Mus musculus: one gene and its partners. The protein of the gene in region 1 interacts with the protein of each later gene in a biochemical or structural test. Links are inferred from orthologs where the notes say so. Each region holds a gene or a part of one and is shown in the gene's direction. Other genes may lie near its edges. The genes, in order: Prkn, Ube2v1, Eif4b, Pink1, Mfn2, Rnf41 and Ube2j1.

Region 1 (2,508 bases):
GGACCCAGGAGCTGCCTCCGCTGCTGTCTGGTTGTTCACTCTGGGTCAGTCTCTCTGCTCTCATTGCTTGAGGTTGTTATTCACTACAAGAGCTGTTTCTGGAATGGCAGGTTGGCACGGGGAACAAGGGCTCGCCCGTATTTGTTACAAACCCACAGCGTCTATGTCCTTTGTCCCCACAGGAGGATGTATGCACATGAAGTGTCCTCAGCCCCAGTGCAAGCTGGAGTGGTGCTGGAACTGTGGCTGTGAGTGGAACCGAGCCTGCATGGGAGATCACTGGTTTGACGTGTAGAGAGAGATGTCACTTGGCCCTGGACGCACAACCTCAAGGGAAACTCCGAAGATTCCTACCTTCCTTAGCCATTTCTTCTTCTCGATGCATATAAGCACATAAATGCGCACACACAAACACAGGCTGCAGATTACAGAAGCAGCCCCTAGATCCTTTCCAGGGCACCCACAGAAAACCACAGCACCCGCTGGCCCCAGGGGGAGGAGGCACTTTCAGCCTCTGGCTCACTCGAATGTCAGAGCTTAGATGAGGGTGCACCTTTGGTTTGGATTCTGTAGAAGCCATGAGTGAGGTGGGAAGTGTTTTCCAGGGTTGTTGCCACGCCCTGGGTAAGTAACACCTCTGAGGATTCTCAGAAGCACACTTGAGATCTGAGGAACGCTGCTCTCATGTAGTAATCATCTATTCCCAAAGGGCCCCCTGCAGTAGTCAAAACTATTTGTTTATCCCCCCAAATCCTATCTTTACAAATGGTGCTGATGAGATTACAACCCCTCTGTGTACTAATCAGCTTATCAACCAAGTGAGAACCTAGGAAAGCTAATTGGATGGCAGACTGCTTAAATCGCAGGGAGGACTCAGAAGCCAAACCTACTTCCGTTCGTTTCATTATCTGCAACTTTAGAAAGAAATGATCTTTTTTTCCCCCTGAAAAGATAACAAAGTCTGCAATTTGGTTTGGAGTATTCCTACTGCAGCCTGGAAGTTTAGCTTCACTGTGAATTTAACAGAGAAAGTGCCTATAAAGGGGGCGTTTTTAAGAGACAATCCCATGATGCTGCGCCAATGCTAACAACAGGGTCAAGAAACACAATGTTTATAGAAGGAGCATCCCTCGACCATCTGAATGAGAGTATGCCTGACCCCTTCCACCACAAGTGGGGACACCTCTGCATATCTGCTCCCTCCTCTGCTGTTAAGCCCCAGGGAGCCCCATCCACCCAGTGGTCCTACAGACAGGGCAATACACACACACCAAGATAGCCTTCAGATCAACATGCATCACACTCAAGTGTTAATCTTTCAAGGTTTTCTTTTCTTTTTCCTGTTTTTTATTTGTTTTGCTTTTGCTTTTTTTTTTTTTTTTTTTTTGGTGGTGGTGGGGCTACCAAACTTGAGGCCTAGAGCTAAAAATCATATAGAAATGATGTTATCTTGTGGTGTGAGGAAAGGCCAGCTGGCCTAAGTTCACACTTTTGTCCCAGTGGCCCTAGACTCCACCCAGCCAGCTCCCAAAATGAAAAGACCACCTGTCAAGCAGCAGTCAGGAGTCTGATGTCACCCATCACTATTTTTTTTCCATCATTGTGCTTGCCTCTGCCTCCTTCCACACCCGTGTGACGTAATCGCATTGGGAAGCCAGGACAATGTTTGCTGTTCTGCTTTGGGTAAAGGGACTCCCTGAAGCTCTGTGGCTCTCCAGTATGGTCCCTTTTCCTTCCTAACAGATGCATATGTTTTCTTCAGAATACAATAGTGATTCTTAAAATAACCCAAAAGACAGGCATCCACAGTGTGTGAGCATGAATCACAGCCTGCATTGTGTGAGTGTGAATAGTGGGATAAAAGTGGATGTCAGAAGAGTGGAAATCAAACCTCTGCAAAGCAATCTTTCTCTTTCTGTGAAGTGTATTAAGAAATACCTGAAGTCTGTGTGTGTGGTGGTACCCAGACTGTCAATCAATAAAGACCCAGACTGTCAATGAAAGAATCAAAAGCGTGTTTGTACCTATCCTTGGGATTGCATTTCTGATCAATTTTGGAGATGTGGGAGGGAAGATGGGCCGCATTTCTCTGTGACCTCTCATATGTGTTTATAGAAGGGGCATCTCTGGATCATCTAAACGAGAACTTGGAAGCATCAGCCACTGGGGGGGGGGGGGAATTGGTCTCTTTTCTTTCCATAATTAACCTTGGGGGCTCTGCTCTCCTAATTATCAGTATTTCAAAACAAGATCTCATTCTGAAACCTAGCAGTCACTTTCTTGCCTTGCTCACAGACTTGCCCAGATAAGTGTTAACAAGGGAAACTGGGTCTGGAGAGTCTGGAGAGATGACTTAGAGGTTAAGAGCACTTGCTGCTTTGGCAGAGGACCAGAGTTCAGCTTGAAAGTACCCAGAGGGTAGCTTGCAACTGCCTAAAACTCCCATTCCAGGGAATTTGATGCCCTCTTCTTATTTCTATGGGCTCCTTCAGGCGCATGGTACTCAGG
Region 2 (3,500 bases), on another chromosome or scaffold:
CAGTAGGTGTCACTGTGTGCATAGGAGCAACTGCTTTGTGTGCAAGACTCCTAAGGAGAGGGTGCCCCCTGCCTGATAAAGAGGCGTGGCCCCTGGTCCAGGGCACAGGTCCCATGTGGAAGGTCTCTGCAGTGTTGTCTTTAGGCACAGTCACAGAGTAGGGTGCTTGCAGCCAGGTGTTCAGGGCTGTGTGATGTTTCCACTCGGGGTGGATGTTCCACACATGATTGGGCTGGGCCAGGCACAATTTGCTGTTGAACATTACAGGTGCTGGTGTGGGCCTCACTTTCCTGTGGGTCTCTTTTTGTTTGTTGGTTTGGTTTGGTTTTTTTGAGATAGGGTTTCTCTGTGTAGCCCTGGCTGTCCTGGAACTCACTCTGTAGACCAGGCTGGCCTCAAACTCAGAAATCCATCTTCCTCTGCCTCCCAAATGCTGGGATTAAAGGCGTGAGCCACCACGCCCGTCTTCTTATGTATCTCAGTGAAGAGATGGTTGGATGGTTGGCTTTGTAACTGTGGGTAGAGGTCAGCAGACACCTTTTGTAGTCTTCCTCCTTCTGCTTTGACAAGCTTGCATGACAAGCCCCTTACCCTCTGAGCCATCCCCACAGCCCTCAGCAGTTGGTGTTTTCATTTATTCGCGATAGTGATATTCATAGCCCAGACTCCTAAGGCCTTCAAGGTCACTGTGTGCCTGTGGATGATCCTCAGCTCGTGGGGTCACAGCTGGGTACCATCACGCCCAGACACAGTTGACCTTTCAGAGTTGATGCTGTCCCTGATGGTCTGGTGCCTCAGCTGCCTGGCCTTCTGCTTCACTCACTTGATGCTGGTGGCATCTTAGGTCACCATGACTACATAAGAGAAAGAATGCTCTGAGGGCAGATGGCATATGCTACAGAAGTGGCCTCAGGTCGGACTCATTGACACTTAACCCTAGTTTCCTCCTGTGTCTGTCCTGTGCTTCCGTCTCTGAGGCACCCACGACAGGCAGTCTGGGGCAACGGTGTCTCCCAGGTGTTGGAAGCTGTACCTCTCTTAGGTCTCTGTAACTTGTCTCTATTCCTTTTTTCCAGACAATCTATGAAAACCGAATATACAGCCTTAAGATAGAGTGTGGGCCTAAGTACCCAGAGGCACCCCCGTCTGTAAGATTCGTAACAAGAGTCAATATGAGCGGCGTGAGCAGTTCGAATGGAGTGGTGAGTCCCCCACTGCCTGCCTGTAGGTTATCACGGTGCGCTTGTGTCTGCAGCGTTGGGCAGGGCCGCTCCATTGTGGCTTGTCACTGCAGGAGCCCTGCACTGGCTGTCAGCCGGGCGTGGTGGCGCACACCTTTAATCCCAGCACTTGGGAGGCAGAGGCAGACGGATTTCTGAGTTTAAGGACAGCCTAGTCTACAGAGTGAGTTCCAGGACAGCCAGGGCTACACAGAAAAACCAAGAAAAAAAGAGTGTTCAGTGTCCATGGCACCATGAGGTAGAGTTGGGAAGTTGGGGCTGAGGCAGAACTATTCCCATATCTTTACCTCCTGTGTCCTGGCCCCTGCCATGGGATATTTTTTAATACTGTTTGCTTGTGCAGCCCTGGCTGGCCTCCACCCATGGCAGCCCTCTGTCTGAGCCCCTGCATTAGCGTTGTCCATGGCCTTGAAGGCCTGACCTTGAGAGGTCAAGGTTGCAGCGCTGTCTACAACTGCAGCCCTCTGTAGAGCTCAGGCCTTACACAGGCTGGCCACACCTCGGCTGTAAATCCCCAATCTGTGTCTTGCTTGCTAGAGGCTTGGAGGCGCTGTGCCTGTCCTGTCCTAGGAGTCTTCAGAAGATGGGCCAGAGAAGTAGAAATTAGCATTCCTGCCACTTGTCCTATGTTGTTCTGTGTTGGAGCCACTTGTCCTATGTGTTACTGTGTCGGAGCCACTAACTCCTTAGTGACCTAAGAGACCTGGGCACCATGGCTGCTCTTGCTACCTGCCCCACCCTGGGTACACATTGGAGAAAGGACAGGGCATGGGCGCCAGGTGCTTGTTGGTCAGGATGGGCCCAGTTTGGCCAAGTTAAGTCTCCCTGTGTGCCTCAGGCTCTGCTAGTTTTCTTCATGCCAGGACCCAGAAAAAGGAGGCAAGACTGTCTGCAGGAGGGCAGCTTGGCCCAGCCCATGGGTTTGATGGGCCTGTGGGCTGGGCATATCAGCCCCGGGGAGGGCGGGAAGGTTTTGCTGCTGAGTCTACAGTAATGTGTGCATTTGCCTCTGCGCAGGTGGATCCGAGAGCCACGGCAGTGCTGGCAAAGTGGCAGAACTCCCACAGCATCAAAGTCATCCTGCAGGAACTGCGGCGCCTGATGATGTCAAAAGAGAACATGAAGCTGCCACAGCCGCCGGAAGGACAGTGTTACAGCAATTAGTCACCAAGGCCCCGGCCTCCCCTCCCCATCCAACCCAAGTCTTCATTTTCCACAGTAGTGAATTTTCTAGATACATCTGTAGACCTCAAAGTACCGGAGAGGAAGCTCCACTCAGCCTTCATCCTGAGACACTGTTCTGATACTAACTTCTCGTCCATTTGAAATACCTAAGTTGTGCTGTGTAACATCAACTGTTGAGTGTAACCGCTGTCTGCCTGGTTGAACTTCTGGGATCAAGAAGGTGTTGAAATCGGTTTCCTGTGGGAGCGGTGGGCACAGCTAACGCAACTGTGAACAGACACGTCACACAATCACCTGCTGCTGGCCCTTGGCCTGGGTCTGCCTTTGCCCGCCCCGCCCTCCGCCACAGCTGTGTGGTGGCCCTTAGAATAGATGGGAAGGCTTCAGGTAGCAGTTGTGGGACTGACTACTGCTGGGCTTGGGGCGCTTTGGCTGCACCCCTGCTTCTTAAGTCTTAAGTGATGCCCCATCCAAGCCATGGTCCCCACTCCTCCACTCCCACCCTTGGCCAAAGCTTAGATTGTAACCCTCCCCTCCCTCTGAAATTGGCCGCGGGTGAGGAATTCAGGGCTTCCCGTGTCCCCACCTTTATCAAGGGGTGCTGCTTCCCCTCCTCAACTCCCCTGTTGCCCATCACCACCCAACACTTGCTGTGGCCAGAAGCCATCAGATGAGGTTGGAATTGCCTGGCCTCCCTCACTTAGCTCCGGACCACACTCACCTGCCACCAGCCTGGGAAGGGAGCGCCGGGTCCTCAGCCCTGCTGCCACCGTCAGCCCTCGAGCTTTGTGCTCAGGTCTAAGGTAAACAGCAGTCACAGGGCGACTCGGACCGGCCAGCGCTCAGGGTCCTTGGTGAAAAGATGCCTAGAGAAAGGCCATGCGGAGTCCTCAGTGCACACGGTTCTGAGTTGGTTCCTTTTCCCATCATTGCTTTGCTTTTACACATTGAAGAGGTTTGAACAGGGCTCTCGTCACCCTGGCCACCCATCGGGTCTGATGTGGAGCCTGACAGCTGGAGCACGAGGCCCTGACCCTGCAGACTCAGGTTTCAGTGTTGCTCCTCAGACCCTCT
Region 3 (3,451 bases), on another chromosome or scaffold:
GCTCTACTTCCCTACCCCCATCAACGTTCAGCTGTCAATTGTTTTATTGTTGTTGTTGTTTAATGTTCTTTGATGAGCTACCTTTTCTGCCAGAAGAGGGCAGGAATGACTTCTTCAAAGAGTATTTAAAGCTGCCTCTTCCTGGTAAAGCCTGCCTTTGTGGAGAAATTGGACAGGAATAAATGTGTCTGTCCTGTCCAAGTTTGAAATGTCACCATTAGTAAACCAAGGTCACTACAGAACAATCTATCTAGTTCCTATTTCTGTCCTGCTTTCTAGGTGATGGTCACTACAGTAGGACTTTTAATGGGAAAAAAAGGCTTTAGGCTGGTTTGGAGTGGGGATAATTCCCCTTCATACGTGTTTCCTTCAGCTTAAAGGAAAGCAAGGACAGGGAGATGAGTTACTTTCTAACCCTTGAATTTGGTTTTGTGTTTCTGTTTAAACAGATGGAAATAAAGTGGATGTGGTGGGTGCCACACAAGGCCAAGCTGGAAGCTGCAGCCGTGGTCCCGGGGATGGAGGGAGCAGAGACCACTGGAAGGACTTGGATAGGTATCTATATTTTTTTTCCTCACTGTTTATGAATCTTGTAGTGTTAGACGCAGGGAATCTTTATAAAGTAGTTCTTGGCTTTCTCAAGCATTGCCAGGTTTACCACTGTGAATAAACTAGAGTCACGGTTAGATTTGCAGAATCTAAAAATAATGCACTATCCCAGCAACACTATTGAATACCTATTGTGTCTCTGCAGGAAGGATGGCAAAAAAGATCAAGACTCCAGATCTGCGCCTGAGCCAAAGAAACCTGAGGAGAACCCAGCCTCTGTAAGTGCCATGTGCCTTTCCTCTTAGTTTTGCGTCTGACTCCTTTTGTCTCCAGTGAGCACACTTAAGGTGGGGTTACCTTCCTCGGCTCTCGGAAAGAGGATGTGTGCGGCCGTCCACTCGTGCCCCTGACCCTCCCTGCTCTCGCAGAGGAACGGGTGTGGTCTGGGCTCCCATCCATGATCCGTCCTCTCCTGTTACAGAAGTTCAGCTCTGCAAGCAAGTACGCTGCTCTGTCTGTGGATGGCGAGGATGAGGATGAGGGCGACGACTGCACTGAGTAGGACCTCCGCACCCTGTGCTTTCTCCTAGTCTCCACCCCGGAACATTCAAGAGCAAATCAAACCTCTATCCAGACAAGACAAAATAAACTCACCATCTCCTGAAGACCTTTCTAAACTTTTTTTTTAATGAAATGAAATTCTTTTGCATGCTGCTGCAGCCTTTTAAAGTATTGAAGTAACTGGAGAATCACCATTGTAGCCAGAGACGTGGCTACCGCTTTTGAATGGGGAAGTTGTGTCTGACAATACCAAGCAGTTACTGTGTGACTAGTGCCTGGGGCTCCATTCAGCAGAATTGCAGTGACAGAGAGGCAGTCACATCAGTTAGGCAGTAGAAAAAGGTGCAAAGCAGAAGTGAGATTTCTACTTTCTAATTCTTATCCTGAGATGGCACCTGTGAATACCCAAACATTACCTGAATTTACCTGAATAAATTTCCCATCCTTAGAAAGGTAGCTCTAGTCTCAAGCTGTTTTAGTCTCCAGGAGGCTGCCAGCCCCTCTACTTTAGTTCTGACTTCAATGGGGCCAGCCTAAGGGGGAATTGTTTTATTTTTTTACCCCCCAAGGGGGTAGTTGGGAGTGAGTCTACGGGGCACTAACAAGTAGTTCCCGCTTGGGGACCAAGATGAACGGAAACTCAATCGTGGTTTGGAAAGCTTTGGGGAGGTGACTAATTATATTTTATACCCGGTAGTGAGGGAAACAGTGTGACCTCCAGTAAACACATACATAGAATGGTCATTTCTGGATGAGGAAGCACTTAACAGGTAGTGAGAAGGCCTGGCTTTGCCCCTTCTAAACTCTCCTTTCTAGAGGTTGAAATATACCCATATTATTTTGAAAACCTTGTCACTCTGGTCATCTCATGGTCTCCATGACACTTAGCCTCCCAGAGCTGTCTGTGAGTCACACACCTCCCACAGACACTGTATCTTAGCCACAAAAAGCCATGGCCTGAGGACTCGCTGCTTTTCTCAAGCAAGCCAGTGAGTTTTCTCTGTGCTATCTTTGATTTCTGCCTGCTCCTGCAGCTTTCAGCCTCAACTGATGGGCTTGGGTGGTGAATAGGGGTGTGTAAATGGGGTGAGTTGGAGGTCTTCAGCCTTGAATGGGATGTAAGGTTTCTATAAATCTCCCTCACTGGAGCCCCACGCTGGTGCTTGTTTATAATGTATGTGACCCTGACTGGTTTTCTGCTTAGGAGGGTTGGCTTCTTTACTCCCCTCAAGAATAAAGGATAATGCAAAGAACGATTGAGCAAGGTCCTGGTTTCTCTTGCAACACTGTAGCTTGACCTGTCTGCTTTGATGTGCACCTTTGTAGGGGTCAGCTCCAAAGATGGCGAGCCTCCCTGTTGTGGGTAGTCAGGTACCTGCAGACAGAGGATACCTTGGTCCTAGGCCTGCTGTGCAGGAGCACTGATGTCCCGTGCTGCAGCAGTAGGCACAGCAAATCGCTTCTCCGGTGGATTTGATTGGCTAGTAGCTAGGAAGTGGGCTTTTGCAGATACCCACAGTTGAATGGGTTTTTTTAAACCATTGTTGTAGACAATGAGAAGGTAGTTTGCCCTCTTCATGTCTATTTCCCTTCCAGATAGTTGCATCCGAAGACAGCTGTTTTGTCCCACTCTCCTACTTTGCTCCTCTGTTAAAATAAAAACAGGGGTTGACTTATGTCCCGCTCCTGAATACATGTAAAATTTGTACAAAAATATCTTCTATGAAAATGATTTGTAATCTGTAGACATTACTTGGGAGATGTCTTGAGATGTAAAATCCCATCCTTTGGGTTGAGGGTTTTTTTGTTTTTCTCCAAATAAATCCAGTCTTTAAAGTTGATGGTTAATGTTGCAGTTTATCGCTCTTTCCCCCCCCCCCCCCATGCCTCTCCTTTCCCCACCCCTTCCTTCCGTTTCGCACAGCAGTATGTGAGCTGTTGCAGGACAGTGGGTAGGCTCACCAACAGTGGAGATGGACCTCTGTGCATGGAGCCCAGGCAGGGTTCGCCGTCCTGGTTGACTTACTCCAACCCCCAGTGTTTGCCTCCTTGCAGTCCATGAAGCCACGTGGTGGGCTTGCCTAGCAAGCTGTTGGGCACTGATACAGGGAACCACCTCAAGAGATATTTCAGACTTAAGGGAGCTTTTCAAAGCTGGTCATCGCTGAAAACAGGAAAATGAGTTAGGATAGAGACAACCTCTAGAGTCACGAGGAACTGGAACACATTTGAGGGACTTGTATCCAAGATGGGGATGATGCAACTAAAAGCAGCTGCTTGTCTAGGGTTGGGTTTGGTTTGATTGATTGGTTGGGGTGTTTTGTTTTTTATTGAGGAAAGG
Region 4 (3,500 bases), on another chromosome or scaffold:
CCAAAGAGGCCCAGTTCAGAAGGCTAGGCATTGTCCTAATTCTGGCAAAGCAGTGTGTGGGTGTAGCGCCACCTAGTGGTAAGCCTTTGTGACTGAGGCGCCACCTAGTGGTTCACATGTACTGTCTCCACGGGCGGGAACACTATTGACAGTGGCTGAGAGCCTGAAGTGCAAACTCCCGTAGCCCTAACCCTTCTACTTATTTCTATGACTTTCTTAGCTGCCTGGCTTCGGTCCTATGTGTCTATTCGATTTTTCCAGGTTTCTCTGGTTGACAATTGGTTCTGTATTCTACCTCTGGTGCCTGTGCCAAGGGTACTAGCTGAAATTCTGCTGGGTCTCCAGAGACACCCCCCCCCCCAGACGACTCATGGCTCATGCATGCCCACTTGGCCTCTGTCCGGAAACCTCGGACTCTGCTCCTTGCTGCCTCTCCCACCTCAGGTCTCGCCCTTGCCTGTCTGTACCCTCCCCACTCCCGAAAGCTCACCCCGTCTTCCTCAGAAGCCAGAGCTCTGACTTTCTGCATTGCTCAGGCTGCAGTCTCTGCACACTGCAGACAGACCTAACTTGGACCAAATCTCCCATCTCCCCACACTGCCTTGAAGCTACTATGACACCTGCCAGGGTGCTGCCAGCCTCCTGCTGAGGTCCTGACACTCCGTGTCACCATTCACCCAGGGCAAGGACAGTGCTACATAGTGCAAGGACCCACTCCTGTGACACAGAGGGGCAGTACAAGAACACACATGAACTAGGCCCCAGGACAGGGCAGTTATCCTCCCAAACTTGGCTCATCACTGGGGACTCCTCCACTCTCCTCTGCACCCTTAGCACTGGTGCTCCTCTCTGTGGCTCTTCTGGTCCTGCAAGCCTTTGCTTCCAGTCGCCTTCCCTGTGTCCCCTAAGAGAAGTGACCTACCTGCCTGTTCCTTTTCCCAGCAGCCATCAGGATCTCAGATGAACCCATGAGCACCCTGACCTTGGTTCCTAATGCCCACTTTTGGTCCAGTCAGCTTTGGCAGAGAGGCAGAGCCACCCTGTCCACAGTGCTTTGTGGGGCCCTGGCTGTGGGGCATCCTGCAGGGGTGAACAAGGGCCACCAGGTGGCAGCACTACAGCGAACTGCATCAGTGTTGGGGACTCATTTGGGAAAGAGGATGCTAGTCCCTGTGAAGGGGGAGATGACTTGGGCTGGGTCCCTGTCCTCAGAGAGCTAAAAGAATTACTCTCGTGTTGGATCTCAAAGCGGCGACTCTGCTCTATACATAGTTCCAGCATTGTAGCTAATGCTTGGCTCTCTGTGTGACCATAGTAAATGCTAACAGAGCATCAGCCTTGCTGAGTCCCTGTGCTGCTGAGCACGACTGTAGTGCTCTGTGCGTATCAACCGCCTTGTACAGAGCATCGCTGAGTCTGTATTTCCCACTCTGCCCTGAGCTCAGAGGGAATGAGTAGCATTGCCCAAGGACTGAGTGTGGCAGTCGCCAGGGTCTCTGAGCCACTGTGTTCCACCATGTGAGATGGATAGATGGGCCAAAGGGTGGGCTAGAATGGGAGAAGTCACCCCTGTTGGGGTGCAATAGCTGGAAGAGAGCAGACCTGCAGTGGATATGGCAACTCTGCCTGAATGGGTGCCTGAGGTGGTGGCCTTAGCTCGTCTGCCCAGCACTTGTCTCTGATGCTGGCCCCATCTGCTGTTCCATTTGCCTGAACAGAAGATCCAGAGATGGTCCCAAGCAGCTTGCCCCACACCCTAACATCATCCGGGTTTTCCGCGCCTTCACCTCATCTGTGCCCCTCCTGCCGGGGGCCCTGGCTGACTATCCTGATATGCTGCCCCCACACTACTACCCAGAAGGCCTGGGCCACGGTCGCACACTGTTCCTCGTTATGAAGAAGTAAGTGGTGGTGCTTGTGTGGGGGCGGGGGTAAGGATCGTGCAGCAGCCTCTCCTGTCCCATGGGAGCTGGTCTGTGCTTGGAGCACAGGGAAGAACAAAGCACGCAGAAATGAGAGCCGTGTAGGAGAGAGCTGGGTTAGAATGAATGATAGATCATCTCATCTTCCAGAATGTGCGCTTGGCACCTTGGTAGCTCCTCCCTCTATGGCGTCCTCTTTCAGTGCCAGCTAACTTCAGAGACGGCGCTGAGGAGTTGGGGAGTGACACTGGCATGGCTTCTGAGATTTGGGGTCAGGGTGGATGAGATCTGAAAGGATGCCTGGGAATAAAGATAGGAGAAACTCCAGAAGGGGAAAGGCCCAGTCCTAGCACGGAAGGAGGCCATGGAAATTGTGATCCCCAGACATTCTGTCCCCTCCTGCCAGCTACCCCTGTACCCTGCGCCAGTACCTTGAGGAGCAGACTCCCAGTTCTCGCCTGGCTACCATGATGACCTTGCAGTTGCTGGAGGGCGTGGACCATCTGGTTCAGCAGGGCATTGCCCATCGGGATCTCAAGTCCGACAACATCCTTGTGGAGTGGGACTCAGGTAGCTGCTGGCCAGAGCCACAGTGCTCTGGACACACCCAGAGTGCTCCAAGAAGGGGCATTAGAGACCCTGAGGGCAGTGTGTGTGTGTACATGTGACATGCACATGTCGAGGCCAAAGGTTGGGGCCTGGCCCCTGTCTCCTTCTCTCTCCCTTATGTTTTTAGAAAGGGTCATTCACTGAGCCTGGCGCTCACTGTTTCAGTAAGGCTAGCTGCCCACCAAGGCCCTGGGATCTCTCTCCATCACCCTAGTGCTGAGGTTATAGCTTTGACATGGGTGGTGGGGATCCAAGTAGGTCCTCACTACTCTAACCACTGAGCAATCTCCCCAGCCCTCTGAATATTCTGTACTGCCTTCTTTAGCTCTACTTCAAGAGAGGACTCCCCTCCATCTCATGGGTAAGATAGGCAACAGCCCTCTTACAGTTCCTGGGGTCTTCTCTGTGGCCCCCTTGCAGAACAATACCATCTGTCCTGTAGTTTTTGAACCAGTGAGAGGTAGGAGAGGTAGCCAGATTGTGGCTCAGTGAAAGCTGCCCACACAAACCCCTGGCTTCTCCATCACTGGCAACATGCAGTGAGCATGCAATGAGAAGCCCTGCCTGGGATGTTCTAGAGGATTGCCGGGCTGGAGAGATGGCTCCGTGCTTAAGTGCTCCTCTCTTCTGGATGGCCTGAGTTTGGTTCCCAGCACCCAGGTGGAAACGCACAGCTGCCTCTAACTCCAGCTCCAGAAGATCTGGCGCCCTCTTCTGGCCTCTCCGGGCACCAACACACATAGATAAAAATAAAACAGATCTTTTTTTTTCCAGACCTGAGGAACTGAACCCAGGGCCTTGCGCTCTACCACTGAGCTAAATCCCCAACCCCAAAACAAATCTTTTTAAAAATTAAACTTAAAATAATTAAATGTGTCACTAGAAAGCTTTCTTAGGAACTCCAGGAGCCTTTCTCTCCCAAGGTCCATTTGTTAGATTATTGGCATTACAAACTCAAATGTAAGACTC
Region 5 (3,500 bases), on another chromosome or scaffold:
ACTTGAGAGTTGGGCATGGCAGCAGGTGCTGTAATTACATCTCTAGAGACGTGAATGACTAGAAGTCATTTTGTTTTTATAAAAGTAATGGGTGCTGCTGGGTGGTGGTCTACACCTTTAATCCTAGCATTTGGAAGGCAGAAGCAGGAGGATGTCTGAGTTCAAGGTCACACTGGTCTACAGCCAGGGCTGTGTAGAAATACCAAGGGGAAAAAGTGATAGGTGCTAAAAACAAACTGGGCATCCCTCAGTGGTCTGGAAGGACAGGGATGGGAGGCAGAAACCTCCTCCCCTCCCACTCCTGCCACTTTGCAAGTCCCAGGGAAGTTCACACTGGGGCCCGAGCCCTGTGCCTGACCACACTGATTTACACCTGTTACCACAAGCCCTGGGATCGATGTTACCACGGAGCTGGACAGCTGGATTGATAAGTTTTGCCTGGATGCTGATGTGTTTGTGCTGGTGGCCAACTCAGAGTCCACGCTGATGCAGACGGTAACTCTTGCTTCGCTTTGTCCCTGGGCCTGCTGGACAGGTGGTTAGTGGGGCCTGGGCTGGCAGGCCCCCTCCTCCATCAAGGTCCTGCCCTTGTCTAGGAGAAGCAGTTCTTCCACAAAGTGAGTGAACGTCTCTCCCGGCCCAACATCTTCATCCTGAACAACCGCTGGGATGCGTCTGCCTCGGAGCCTGAGTACATGGAGGAGGTAGGTGTCTCGCTGGCAGCAGTTTGGGGACTGCCAGGAGCCATGAGCACTGACCACTCAGATCTGCTGTGTGTCCCAGGCAGCCTCAGTTAAAGTCAGTGCCAGATTGCCCATGTACTCGCTGGTGGCTTTAATCTTTCCGCTCCCCTCCCATTCATTTTCCTTCCCTCCTCTTGATTTCTCCTAAGAGCATCCCTGCTGTGCTTGGGCCAGTAACTGGTTTACAGAAGCTCAGGATCTACAGAAACAGGCTGTAGAAAGACACTGGGGAAGAAGCTTAAGAAAATGAAGGACAGGAGATTCTTTCTTTCTTTCTTTTTTTTTAGCCCTGGCTGTCCTGCAACTCACTTTGTAGACCAGGCTGGCCTCAAACTCAGAAATCCGCCTGCCTCTGCCTCCCGAGTGCTGGGATTAAAGGCGTGCGCCACCACGTCCGGCTACCCTTTTAAATTCTACTAGTCCAGCCTAGTACATGGAGCTGGGACTGCCCACTGTGACGACTTGTTTTATAAATCAAGGTTCTGGGAGATGTGGCTTGTCAGTGTAGGGGCATTTAGGTTCTCTTCCTTGTGGGATGTCAAAGAACAATATTAGATCGACTTTCAAAACTTGAGGCAGTCTGGGACCTGTTCTGTGCCTCAGGAACCCCCAGGGAGGAGCTGGGGAGGTGGTGCTGGGTGACCCTTCCTTGTCCAGCGTTCATCCCTTGTGCTTGTTGAGCCTTGTGGATCGGGTTTCCCCACCACTGTCCTGCTCATGCACAGCCGTCTGCCTGGCCCAGGTGCGGCGGCAGCACATGGAGCGCTGCACCAGCTTTCTGGTGGATGAGCTGGGCGTGGTGGATCGAGCTCAGGCTGGGGACCGGATCTTCTTCGTGTCTGCCAAGGAGGTTCTCAGCGCCAGGGTCCAGAAAGCCCAGGGCATGCCAGAAGGAGGTAACTGTGAGCTGCTGGCTTCTTTTTACTTGGTGTTTGCAGTGTTGCGTCTCTTCCTGGGTGTGTGGTGGAGACTGCTGGCAGTGAGGTGGAGAGCAGAGCCTGGAGGGAGGTTCTTGTCCTTAGAATCACCTAGGAGATCTCCCACTGGGCATGGCTTTGAGGGCATTACCAGAGAGGCTTGCCTGAGAAGGGATGACTCTTCCTGAAGGTGAGCTGCAGCTTATCATGGGCTGAGTAAAAAGGAGAAAGCCAGCCGAGCACCCCTTCTTTCCATGTCTGTGCCCAGTGAGCTATGGGCCAGCAACCTCAAGTTGCTCCTAAGCAAGGCACCTGCTGCTGTTCCTTTCCACCATGACCTACTGTCTCCCCTCAGACCGAGAGCCAGAATAAGCCTGCCTTCCTCCCTGAAGTGGCTTCTCGGCAGGTGATTTTGGTCACAGGGCTAGAAAAGTATCCCAGAGAAGGATCTCCCCAATCACTTACCGTGCAGTTTCCTCATCAGCACTGCCGTTCTCCTAGGCGGCGCTCTCGCAGAAGGTTTTCAAGTGAGGATGTTTGAGTTTCAGAATTTCGAGAGGCAGTTTGAGGTAAGTCTTTGACTCTGGTGTGTGGTCCTCCTGTCCTTCCCAGCTCTGTCTAGCCTGGCCGTGGAGGTGACAGCCCCACCTCCCTCAGTCCCTCTCTCTGTTGTAGGAGTGCATTTCCCAGTCTGCAGTAAAGACCAAATTTGAGCAGCACACAGTCCGGGCCAAGCAGATTGCAGAGGCCGTTCGTCTCATCATGGATTCCCTGCACATCGCAGCTCAGGAGCAGCGGTGAGAGCCTACATGTATGATCAGACCCCTAATGCTGAGCTCAGTCCATGGGCCCACGCCCAGGCCACAATAGAGACCTAGTCACACTGGTCAGGAGGGCCATCTGGTGTCTCATCATCCCACCCAGCCTGCACAGTAAGGCAGGCTCCTTGTTGGAGGTCTTGGCCTTTGTGTTTGTTTTTAATTTTCAGTAGTACAGGGCTCAGATCTGAGTCCTTTTATCAGCTAGAAAGGCTCTTTACTACCGAGTTGCAGCCCTGGCCCAGGGTTTGGTTTTGTTTTATTTCCAATAGATTCTTAACTATGTAGTTCAGGTTAGTCTTGAACTTAAGATTTTATTGCCTCAGGACCCCACCCTAACATACCATATCCCACTTGAACCTTCCTTTTTTTTTGTTTTATTGTATGTATGTATGTATGTATGTATGCAAGTATGAATTGGTTTTTTCTTTTGTTTTGTTTTTTTTGAGACAGGGTTTTACTATGCATCTCTGGTGGGCCCAGAACTCTCTATATAGTCCAGATAGCCTTGTACTCAGATCTGCCTACTTCTGCCTCATGAGTGCTTGGACTAAAGGGACATTAAAACGTGATGGGGTACAGGTGATATGCTCAGTTTTCAGAGTGCTAACCTAGTATATAGGAACCCCTGAGCTCGTCTCCAGTACACACGTACTGGCTGTGGTAGTGACATCCTAGAATCATTTTATAAGCATTTTAGAGATGGAGTCAGGGTGTAGGAGGATCAGGTTCAGTGTCATTCTTGGCTATTAGTAAGTTTGAGGCCAGCGCAGGATGCATGGGCTCCTGTCTCAAAAGAACAAAAAGAAAAAAGAAAAACAATATGAGAAATGTAAAGTCCAGGAAAGCTCAGGGAGCCATGTACAAACAATTCCCTTCTACTGGAGAGACTATGAGATAGTGTGGGCCTATGTTAGTTAGAGCAGAAAAGGAGTCCCACCCAGTCCTGGGGGATGGTGGGTTCCTGTGCTCCCACTCCCCAGATTAAAGGACCTTCCTGAGGAGAGCACAAAAGGACTGGA
Region 6 (3,500 bases), on another chromosome or scaffold:
TGTCTCTTTCTCTCTCTCTCTCTCTCTCTCTCTCTCTCTCTCGTGCTAGAGAGATGAAACCCAGGGCCTTGTTCTTTCTAGGCAGGATCTCTATCACTGAGCTGTATCCCCAGCCCTGCTTTGCTTGAGGTGATCATTCTGACTGATAAATGTAGACTAAGAGGCAAGAGAAACCAGTTGGAAGTCATACTTGACAATTCAGGTAAGAGATGATACCATACGAGCTTGAATCAATAGAGATGGAGAAAAGTAGACACATTGGGAATTTTTTTTTTAAGATTTACTTATTTTATATATGTGAGTACATCATTACTGTCTTCAGACACACCAGAAGAGGACATCAGATCCTATTACAGATGGTTGTGAGCCACCATGTGGTTGCTGGGAACTGAACTCAGGGCCTCTGGAAGAGCAGTCAGTGCTCTTAACCTCTAAGCCATCTCTCCAGCCCGATTTATTTTTCTTTTTTCTTAAATAGTTTGTTTATTCTTTAAGATAACCCAGGTAGAGTGACACCTGCCAATAAACCTAGCACTCAGGGCTTCAAGGTAAGCCTTCCCTATATAGCTACTTCAAGGACAGGATAGCCTGCATGTGAGTTTCAAAAAACATGGAGGGCTAGGTTTGATAGCATATGCCTTTATAGTCCTAGCACTTGGGAGGCAAGTGGATCTCTGTGAGTTCGAGGCCATCTACAAATTGACTCCAGGACAGCCAGGGCTACACAGCTACACAGAGAAACCCTGTCTCAAAAAAAAAAGGTTTTGGGCTGGTGAGATGGCTCAGTGGGTAAGAGCACCCGACTGCTCTTCCAAAGGTCAGGAGTTCAAATCCCAGCAACCACATGGTGGCTCACAACCATCCGTAACGAGATCTGACTCCCTCTTCTGGAGTGTCTGAGGACAGCTACAGTGTACTTACAATAAATAAATAAATAAATAAATCTTTAAAAAAAAAAAAAAAAAAAAACAGGGGAAAAGATTTAAAAAAAAAAAAAAAAAGGTTTTGAGACGAGTCATATGTTAAGGGTTTTGTGTGTGTGTGTGTGTGTGTGTGTGTATACATACATACACATACATATACATATATATATACACATCCATATATATGAATATATATATATATATATATATATATTCAGAGTTAGCTTTTTAATTAGATACCCTTTTAGTTAACATTTTAAATTACATTTATCACATATTTATTCTTGTGTGTTGTGTGTGTGTGTGTGTGTGTGTTTGCACGTGTGTTCACAGTGGGTTGTGACACATATGGAATCAGATGATACTCTGTGGGAGTTGATTCTCTGCTTCTACCAGGCTTGGTAGCAGACATCTTTACCTGCCACACCGTGTCCCCAACCTGGGTTTTGAGCTTCTTAGAAGTGAACTCAGCACATGTGACTGCACAGGGGTTTGAAGTGCATTCTGCACTAGCCTAATGATCTAAGATCAATCACTGGAACCTGCTGTGGAAAGGGGCCTCACAGCCATGTGTGCTCCATGGTGCATGTGACTTGCACTTACACACTCCCAGTTCTGGGCACATGTAATAAATGCAAAGTTCACCTGACTCAGGTGCTGTTCGTTGCCCATGGCTGAATGCTAGGTAGTGTCTTCCCAGGAACCAGGGAACCAGGGAGCCTTCTCAAAGAAATAAGGGACATCTTTATATATCATGGGAATGGGGAGGGGTTACTAGGGTTTTTGAAACAGGGTATGGTTATATATTCCAACTAGCCTGGAACTTGGGATCCTCCTGCCTCTCTTTAGCCTCCTAAGTGCTGGAACTCCCCACCCCCACCCCACCATGATATTTATGAAACAGAGAACAGTGTCATTCTACAAAAAAAAAAAAGAAAATGCTAGTCCTATGTAGGAGCCCTGGTGTAGCATTTGTGACTCAGGGGCCATACCTCATTGAAAGGTCATGACAGGCCTCATAGAGAAAGATCTTGAATCTACACAGAGAAATCTCATGAGAGTTTCCCTTACTTTTCCTATGTGATTTGTTGTTGGGTCTTTTTTTTTTTTCTTTCCTTTTTAAAATATATTTAAAATATTTTATTTTTGTATGTGTGTGGGGAGGTGGACATGCCATGTGTGTAGGTTCCTGAGGAGGTCCAAAGGAACTCTTGTATCCTCTGAAACTGAAGTTAGAGGTAGTTATCAGCTGCTGTGTGTGTGCTGGGAACTGAACTTGGGTCCTCTGGAAGACTAGCAAGTTCTGTTAACTGTCTTGCCAGCCCCTGTTTGTTTGTTTGAGAGTTTGGAGGGACTGTTCTTTTGTTGAGACAAGGTCTTACTATGTAGACCATGCTGGCATGGGACTTAGAGACCCACCTGACTCTGCCTCCCGAGTGCTGGGATTAGAGGTGTGCACCAGCCTGCCTGGATTTTTTTTTCTTACGTTTGCTTATTTTGTGTCTGTGTGTGTGTATGTGTGTGCGCGCGCGCTCATGAATACACACACAGTCCATGGAACATATGGAACTCAGTAGTTTGCAGCCAGTTCTCTCCTTTTACCATGTAGATCCCAGGGATCAGACTCACGTCAGGTTTGGTGGCAAGCACTTTTACCTGGGAGTCCCCTCTCCACCTCCATTTGTTTTCTGAGGCAGCTCTTGCCATGTAGGGCAGGTGCTTACAAGACTTCCTCCTCGGCCTGTGAGCTGGGAACGGCCACACGCAGCCCTCGTACTCTCTCACTTCTGTGGTGGTTAGTGAGTCTCTGCCGTAGTCCCTACGCTGTGTCTGAGTCATTCGTGAAGCCCTGTGTACAGAACACACCTTTCCCCATAAGGATCTGCTGTGGTCGCCCTTGCCGGCAGGGCTCACCTTCCTCTGGCCTTACTTGGCAGTTACTGTGTGTGAGTGAGATCCTGCTGGCTGTTAGTGATGGATGGCCTTGTGTTGTCCTCTCCACTCCTGCAGTGTCCTGTGAGTCTTTTACTGTTACAGAACCGTTTGCTTGTTTATCTTGTCTCTCAACTCATTTCCACTCCTGAGCACAGGAAGTGAGTCTTGCACCTGACCTGAAAATGCTCTGCCCAAAAAGATCTGTCCTTGATTGTGAGCCCTGGACCTCTGCTCCTAGAATCTGCTTGCAGGCTTCATTGGCTTCATAATTACTGGATCCAGGCTCTCAGCTCTTGCTAATCCCCTTGTGTCCCTTTTACCCCCTACTGTCCCTTCTAGGCGCCTCATTGTGAGCATGCCTTCTGCAACGCCTGCATCACCCAATGGTTCTCTCAGCAGCAGACGTGTCCGGTAGACCGTAGCGTTGTCACGGTTGCCCACCTGCGCCCAGTACCTCGGATCATGCGGAACATGTTGTCAAAGCTACAGATTGCCTGTGACAACGCTGTGTTTGGCTGCAGTGCTGTTGTCAGGCTTGACAACCTCATGTCCCACCTCAGTGACTGTGAGCACAACCCGAAGCGGCCTGTGACCTGTGAGCAGGGCTGTGGGTGAGATTCCTCCTTCCACTCCATTCAGACA
Region 7 (4,299 bases), on another chromosome or scaffold:
TCATCTTTTGTTATTTGCAGCATCGCCAGAAACTGGTTTAAGTTTGTTTTTTATTTTTTAAAGTTATCGTCAGGATTATTATAAAAAATAAGATGAAATTCTTCCAAATTTTAATTTGGGATGGAATCTTTTTGTTTGCTGAAAATTGTTACTTTCTTCTAGGAGGGAATTTGTTCTGAAGAAACAAAGTATTCTTTTGACAAACCTACATTTCTGGGAAAATTAATCTTTCCGACCCAGTTAACAGTCAAGCAATTAGTAACTTTTAGCATTTACTCCTTTTTTAAAAAAAAATCATATTTACCCTCTCTGTACATGTTTATATTTAGAAAAAAATTAAGAGTTGACTTTTCTCTTGCAGTGATTATAATTAAGCTTTGCCATGGGCCCATAACTCAATGCCGGATTTGTTGCTGTCTTTTACCTAAGGAAGAGCCCCCAAGGACGAGGTGATGTGGCTTCAAGAATAAAATAAAAGAGAAACATCCTTATCTCCATTGTTGGGAGGAAGAGGAGAGCCTCAGGGCAAAGTGCCTTCCGAGTCTGGCTGGCGGGCGGATGGGAACGACTACACCCCCTCGGCAGGCCTGGTCATGGGGCCGGTCGGAGCAGCGCAGGTTGCTGGATGCTAAATTTGAGGACTGAACACAAAGAATGAAAGCTTAATGGAGAAGCACATTGAAGCTCGGTTTTGCTTGCTTCTCTATTCTTCAGATTATCACCGTACTATTCAGAAAACATCGCCTTTAATGGCTTAGAAGATGCCACTTAAATCTTTTTTTTTTCCCTCCTCCTTCAGACGGCTGGGAAAAATTACTGACATTCCCACAAACACATTTGACAATGTTAAACAAGAACACTAATCTGTCTAATTGGTTAATCTTCATTCCACCTATAACCTTCTCTAATCTCCGCTGGCTCCCTCCCTTTTTTGAGGCCCTTTTATCTCGGTAAGCCGTCCGAACCAGAACCTTACTTTCTCTGTCCTCCATGATCCGAAAAGACAAACGCACCGCATCTCTTTCAGACCGACCTGTCCCATTTATGCGTTTTTATTAACATTCCAGGCGACCCCTTGGTTTTATTTCTGGGAGGTTCTGATGCACCCCGAAAAACGCTGCCTTAGCTAACCGCACCGCGGAGCTAGGGGCCACTCCCGTCCATCGCACCGAGGCCAACTGCGGGCTCGGAGAAGCGCACATCACGGCGCCGCAGTCCCAGGCCGCGCTCGCCCGCCCGCCGCTCCGGGCTGCGCCGTTCCTCCGAGCTCCCTGCGAGCTCCGCGGGAACCCCTGAAGGGCCCGCGGCGAGTCGGTCTCCCGGGCTGGGCCGAGGGGACGACGAGGGTGCCGCCCGTCTCCCCAGGGCTGCCGGGCGGGCGGGATTCGCGGGACCGCCGCTGCCGAGTGACCGACCGCCACGAAGCGCCCGCCACGTCAGGCCGACTTCACAGACCCGGCGCCGGCGGTGACGCAGCGGCGCGTCAGCCGGGACGTCAGTCCCGCAGGCCGTCCGCAGCCCGGCGCCCCGTTCGGCGACGCCCCGGCGCCCGGCCGGCCCTCAGGGAGGCGGACCCCGCGGCACGCACCTCGCCCGCGGTCGGGCTGGACTGGGCGGTGTCAGCGGAGGCCCTCGCTAGGCGCGTCCGCCGCGCGAGACCCGGGCAGCTGCGGCGCCGACGAGAGCGGCAGCGGGGACGTCCGCCATGGAGACCCGCTACAACCTGAAGAGCCCGGGTGAGCCGGGCTGGGGCGGCGGGCGGGCGGACGGGCGGGGGACCCGGGACTCAGAGCGCGGCGCCTCGGCCCGCTCGTGTCCGCCGGCCCTCGCGGCTGCTCCGGGCTCGCGCTTTACGCGAGGCCGCGGCCGGTCCGGGGGTGCAGGCCGCAGAGCGGGCGGCCGCTGCGGATCCCCCGATGCGCTGGCGCTCCTCCGCTCCTGGCCTCTTCCTCCCGGTGTCTGCGGAGCGAAGCAGGAGACAGCCGAGCCAAGGGCAGGTGCGAAGGCGACGACGGTCCGCACTACTGACCATCCCTGGCCGCATCTGCGTCCTTCGTGTCCCCTCCGCCTCTGCCGACGAACTTTTGTTAGGTGTTTGACTCACATTTGAAATATCCCATTTTTATTGTGGTTGAAATATCCAATTTCAGTATTTGGGGGAGAATTTATAGACGTAGAAAAAAAAAATATGTCCTGTAGCTAAACTAGTTGAGCTGTGCACTTGGGAATTAACCATGATTTGGGGGGGTTGATTGCTACTTTGAATTTCTTTCCTTCAGTTAATGCCCTCAGACAATCCTGGCCTCCAGTTATTTTCTGGTGCACTAAAAACAATGCCAAAAACAAAAAACAAAAAACCCATTATCAGTTGTCATATCTTTTAAGGCAGACGTAGCACAAATTACTGGAGCCTAAAAAATGTACTTTGATAATTTGTCAGGGGGAAAAAACTCCTCCCTGTTAGCTCTGAATAATAAGCCTCAGGGTATTGATGATCATTGAACTAGAACTCTCGTCACCGTTTGTTTTCTTTCCCACACTGCTTCTTAGTTTGGACTTAAGTCTGATATCTTTATGGGAAAGAGTTGGTATTGTGAATCTTTTTAAAAATATATATATATTTTAAATTTTTAGAATATATAAAGGAAAAGCCAGAGAATATTGGCTGAACAGAATGTTGTTAGCTTGAATGCTGATAAGTAAGTGGCCTTAGGGACCAGATGTAGAATTAGTCATTTCTACGGTGTTTGTTTAAAATTTGACCACGCCTGTGTAAGAATTATATGGCTGAATTTTAATGGGACATGTCTCTGTCTTCAGCCCATCACTTAAAACCTGAAGAGTTAAAAAAGGTCAGAGAAAGTAGAAATGCCTGGATTTTACCATTTTGATGCCAGAATGATTAAATTAGTTGGAATTTTGTTGTTGTTGTTTTGAGACAGTTTCTCTGTGTAGCTCTGGCTGTCCTGAAATTCACTCTGTAGACCAAGCTGGCCGAGATCCTCCTGCCCCTGCCTTCCCAGAACTGACATTAAAGGTGTTTGCCACCTAGCTAAATTTGTTGGACTTTTAAAATCAAACTGTGCAGTAAATTGTACAGTACTTAGTCACACCTAGAGCAGCAGAGGTCCTTAGGCAGATGTCCAGAGAATAATGCAGTGTGAAATGTTGTCAGGAAATTGTTCAATCTTTTTTTTTTTTTTAACAACTTCCTTTTATCTATCTTTTTATTTATGTGCATTTTTTTCCCTTGCATGTATGTCTGTGTGAGGATGTAAGATCCCCTGGAACTGGAGTTATAGACAGCTGTAAGCTACCATCTGGGTCAGTTTATAAGGTCTTCTGGAAGAGCTGGCAGTGCTCTTAACTTCTGAGACCTCACTTCAGCCCCAAATTTCTCCTTCTTGATAGGCTATTGTACCCAAGATTATGATAAAATTTAAGCAACTTTAGAAATTTAATACATTTCTAGATGGGTATGGTGATTTGTGCCTTTAATTCCTGCATTTGGGAGGTAGAGGTAGGCAGATCTCTGTGAGATCCAGTCTGATCTACTTAGTAAGTTAATAAATTTTGAAAGTAAGTTGGACTTCGGTTGACTCTTGTATCTGTTTACAAATTCTCTTCTCTAGGTGATGCTATTCTTTAAAAAGCTTTAAACTGTCTTCCCTGTTGATGTAGGTGATTTTGAGTTCGTAGAGAAGGTAGTTTCAATGAACTCTAGAAGTTGCCAAAGTGCCGAGAAGTCTGGTGATAATGCTTGCTTTGTTTTAGTCTCAAATCTTTGTTACTTGTAGATTACTGACTGTGAGAGGAAGTAATCGAAACATCTCATTTCCTGTCTGCTAGTGTTGGGTTATCTCAGAGATAAGGATGGGAAAATCTTGGAGGACACAATACAGACTATGGTTAACCGTTGTGTCCTGCATATGGTAACTTTGTTCCATCGTACCAGAAGCCTGGGAATTATCCTGTTCATCCTGTTGGTATCAACCGAAACTTCACACTAATCAGACTTTCCAGTGAACCCAGACCATATCAACTGGTCTGCATAGAATATGTGATTGAACATTTTTACAGATTTCCCACAGATCGAAAAGGTCTCTGTGAGTTGTAAAAACCAAATTCCTTGGTATCCCAACCTTCTTCAAACTCCTCTATTTCCCTCAGATATCCCATGGATTTATAGCATCCAGGGAGCTGCTGCCCTTCACGTGTTAGGCATCTGGTCTCCCACAGAGACACCTTTCACAGTGGTGCCAAGACAGTCTTCAGTCTTGGTCAGCTCCTTTACCTCTG

Evidence for each region.
Region 2: the proteins of Prkn (region 1) and Ube2v1 form a complex in vitro, tested with the Homo sapiens proteins (4 studies listed by BioGRID). The link is inferred for Mus musculus from reciprocal best matches to the Homo sapiens genes PRKN and UBE2V1.
Region 3: of the proteins of Prkn (region 1) and Eif4b, one has a biochemical effect on the other in vitro, tested with the Homo sapiens proteins (2 studies listed by BioGRID). The link is inferred for Mus musculus from reciprocal best matches to the Homo sapiens genes PRKN and EIF4B.
Region 4: of the proteins of Prkn (region 1) and Pink1, one has a biochemical effect on the other in vitro, tested with the Homo sapiens proteins (12 studies listed by BioGRID, with this or other methods). The link is inferred for Mus musculus from reciprocal best matches to the Homo sapiens genes PRKN and PINK1.
Region 5: of the proteins of Prkn (region 1) and Mfn2, one has a biochemical effect on the other in vitro, tested with the Homo sapiens proteins (2 studies listed by BioGRID). The link is inferred for Mus musculus from reciprocal best matches to the Homo sapiens genes PRKN and MFN2.
Region 6: the proteins of Prkn (region 1) and Rnf41 form a complex in vitro, tested with the Homo sapiens proteins (2 studies listed by BioGRID, with this or other methods). The link is inferred for Mus musculus from reciprocal best matches to the Homo sapiens genes PRKN and RNF41.
Region 7: the proteins of Prkn (region 1) and Ube2j1 form a complex in vitro, tested with the Homo sapiens proteins (4 studies listed by BioGRID). The link is inferred for Mus musculus from reciprocal best matches to the Homo sapiens genes PRKN and UBE2J1.

What each region holds. Positions count from the first base shown.
Region 1 is NC_000083.6:12,061,359-12,063,866, forward strand, and holds the end of Prkn (E3 ubiquitin-protein ligase parkin), read left to right. Parts: intron 1-182; coding exon 183-295; 3' UTR 296-2,008; downstream 2,009-2,508. UniProt on the Homo sapiens protein: Functions within a multiprotein E3 ubiquitin ligase complex, catalyzing the covalent attachment of ubiquitin moieties onto substrate proteins. Substrates include SYT11 and VDAC1.
Region 2 is NC_000068.7:167,608,006-167,611,505, reverse strand, and holds part of Ube2v1 (ubiquitin-conjugating enzyme E2 variant 1), read left to right. Parts: intron 1-1,076; coding exon 1,077-1,202; intron 1,203-2,258; coding exon 2,259-2,405; 3' UTR 2,406-3,500. UniProt on the Homo sapiens protein: Has no ubiquitin ligase activity on its own. The UBE2V1-UBE2N heterodimer catalyzes the synthesis of non-canonical poly-ubiquitin chains that are linked through Lys-63.
Region 3 is NC_000081.6:102,094,223-102,097,673, forward strand, and holds the end of Eif4b (eukaryotic translation initiation factor 4B), read left to right. Parts: intron 1-449; coding exon 450-555; intron 556-754; coding exon 755-827; intron 828-1,030; coding exon 1,031-1,111; 3' UTR 1,112-2,951; downstream 2,952-3,451. UniProt on the Homo sapiens protein: Required for the binding of mRNA to ribosomes. Functions in close association with EIF4-F and EIF4-A. Binds near the 5'-terminal cap of mRNA in presence of EIF-4F and ATP.
Region 4 is NC_000070.6:138,316,297-138,319,796, reverse strand, and holds part of Pink1 (serine/threonine-protein kinase PINK1, mitochondrial precursor), read left to right. Parts: intron 1-1,718; coding exon 1,719-1,901; intron 1,902-2,328; coding exon 2,329-2,492; intron 2,493-3,500. UniProt on the Homo sapiens protein: Serine/threonine-protein kinase which acts as a sensor of mitochondrial damage and protects against mitochondrial dysfunction during cellular stress.
Region 5 is NC_000070.6:147,884,410-147,887,909, reverse strand, and holds part of Mfn2 (mitofusin-2), read left to right. Parts: intron 1-386; coding exon 387-495; intron 496-596; coding exon 597-704; intron 705-1,485; coding exon 1,486-1,639; intron 1,640-2,161; coding exon 2,162-2,229; intron 2,230-2,335; coding exon 2,336-2,457; intron 2,458-3,500. UniProt on the Homo sapiens protein: Mitochondrial outer membrane GTPase that mediates mitochondrial clustering and fusion. Mitochondria are highly dynamic organelles, and their morphology is determined by the equilibrium between mitochondrial fusion and fission events.
Region 6 is NC_000076.6:128,432,116-128,435,615, forward strand, and holds part of Rnf41 (E3 ubiquitin-protein ligase NRDP1), read left to right. Parts: intron 1-81; exon of another isoform or gene 82-202; intron 203-3,197; coding exon 3,198-3,469; intron 3,470-3,500. UniProt on the Homo sapiens protein: Acts as E3 ubiquitin-protein ligase and regulates the degradation of target proteins. Polyubiquitinates MYD88. Negatively regulates MYD88-dependent production of pro-inflammatory cytokines.
Region 7 is NC_000070.6:33,029,881-33,034,179, forward strand, and holds the start of Ube2j1 (ubiquitin-conjugating enzyme E2 J1), read left to right. Parts: upstream 1-1,499; 5' UTR 1,500-1,705; coding exon 1,706-1,736; intron 1,737-4,299. UniProt on the Homo sapiens protein: Catalyzes the covalent attachment of ubiquitin to other proteins. Functions in the selective degradation of misfolded membrane proteins from the endoplasmic reticulum (ERAD) and is essential for cells to recover from ER stress.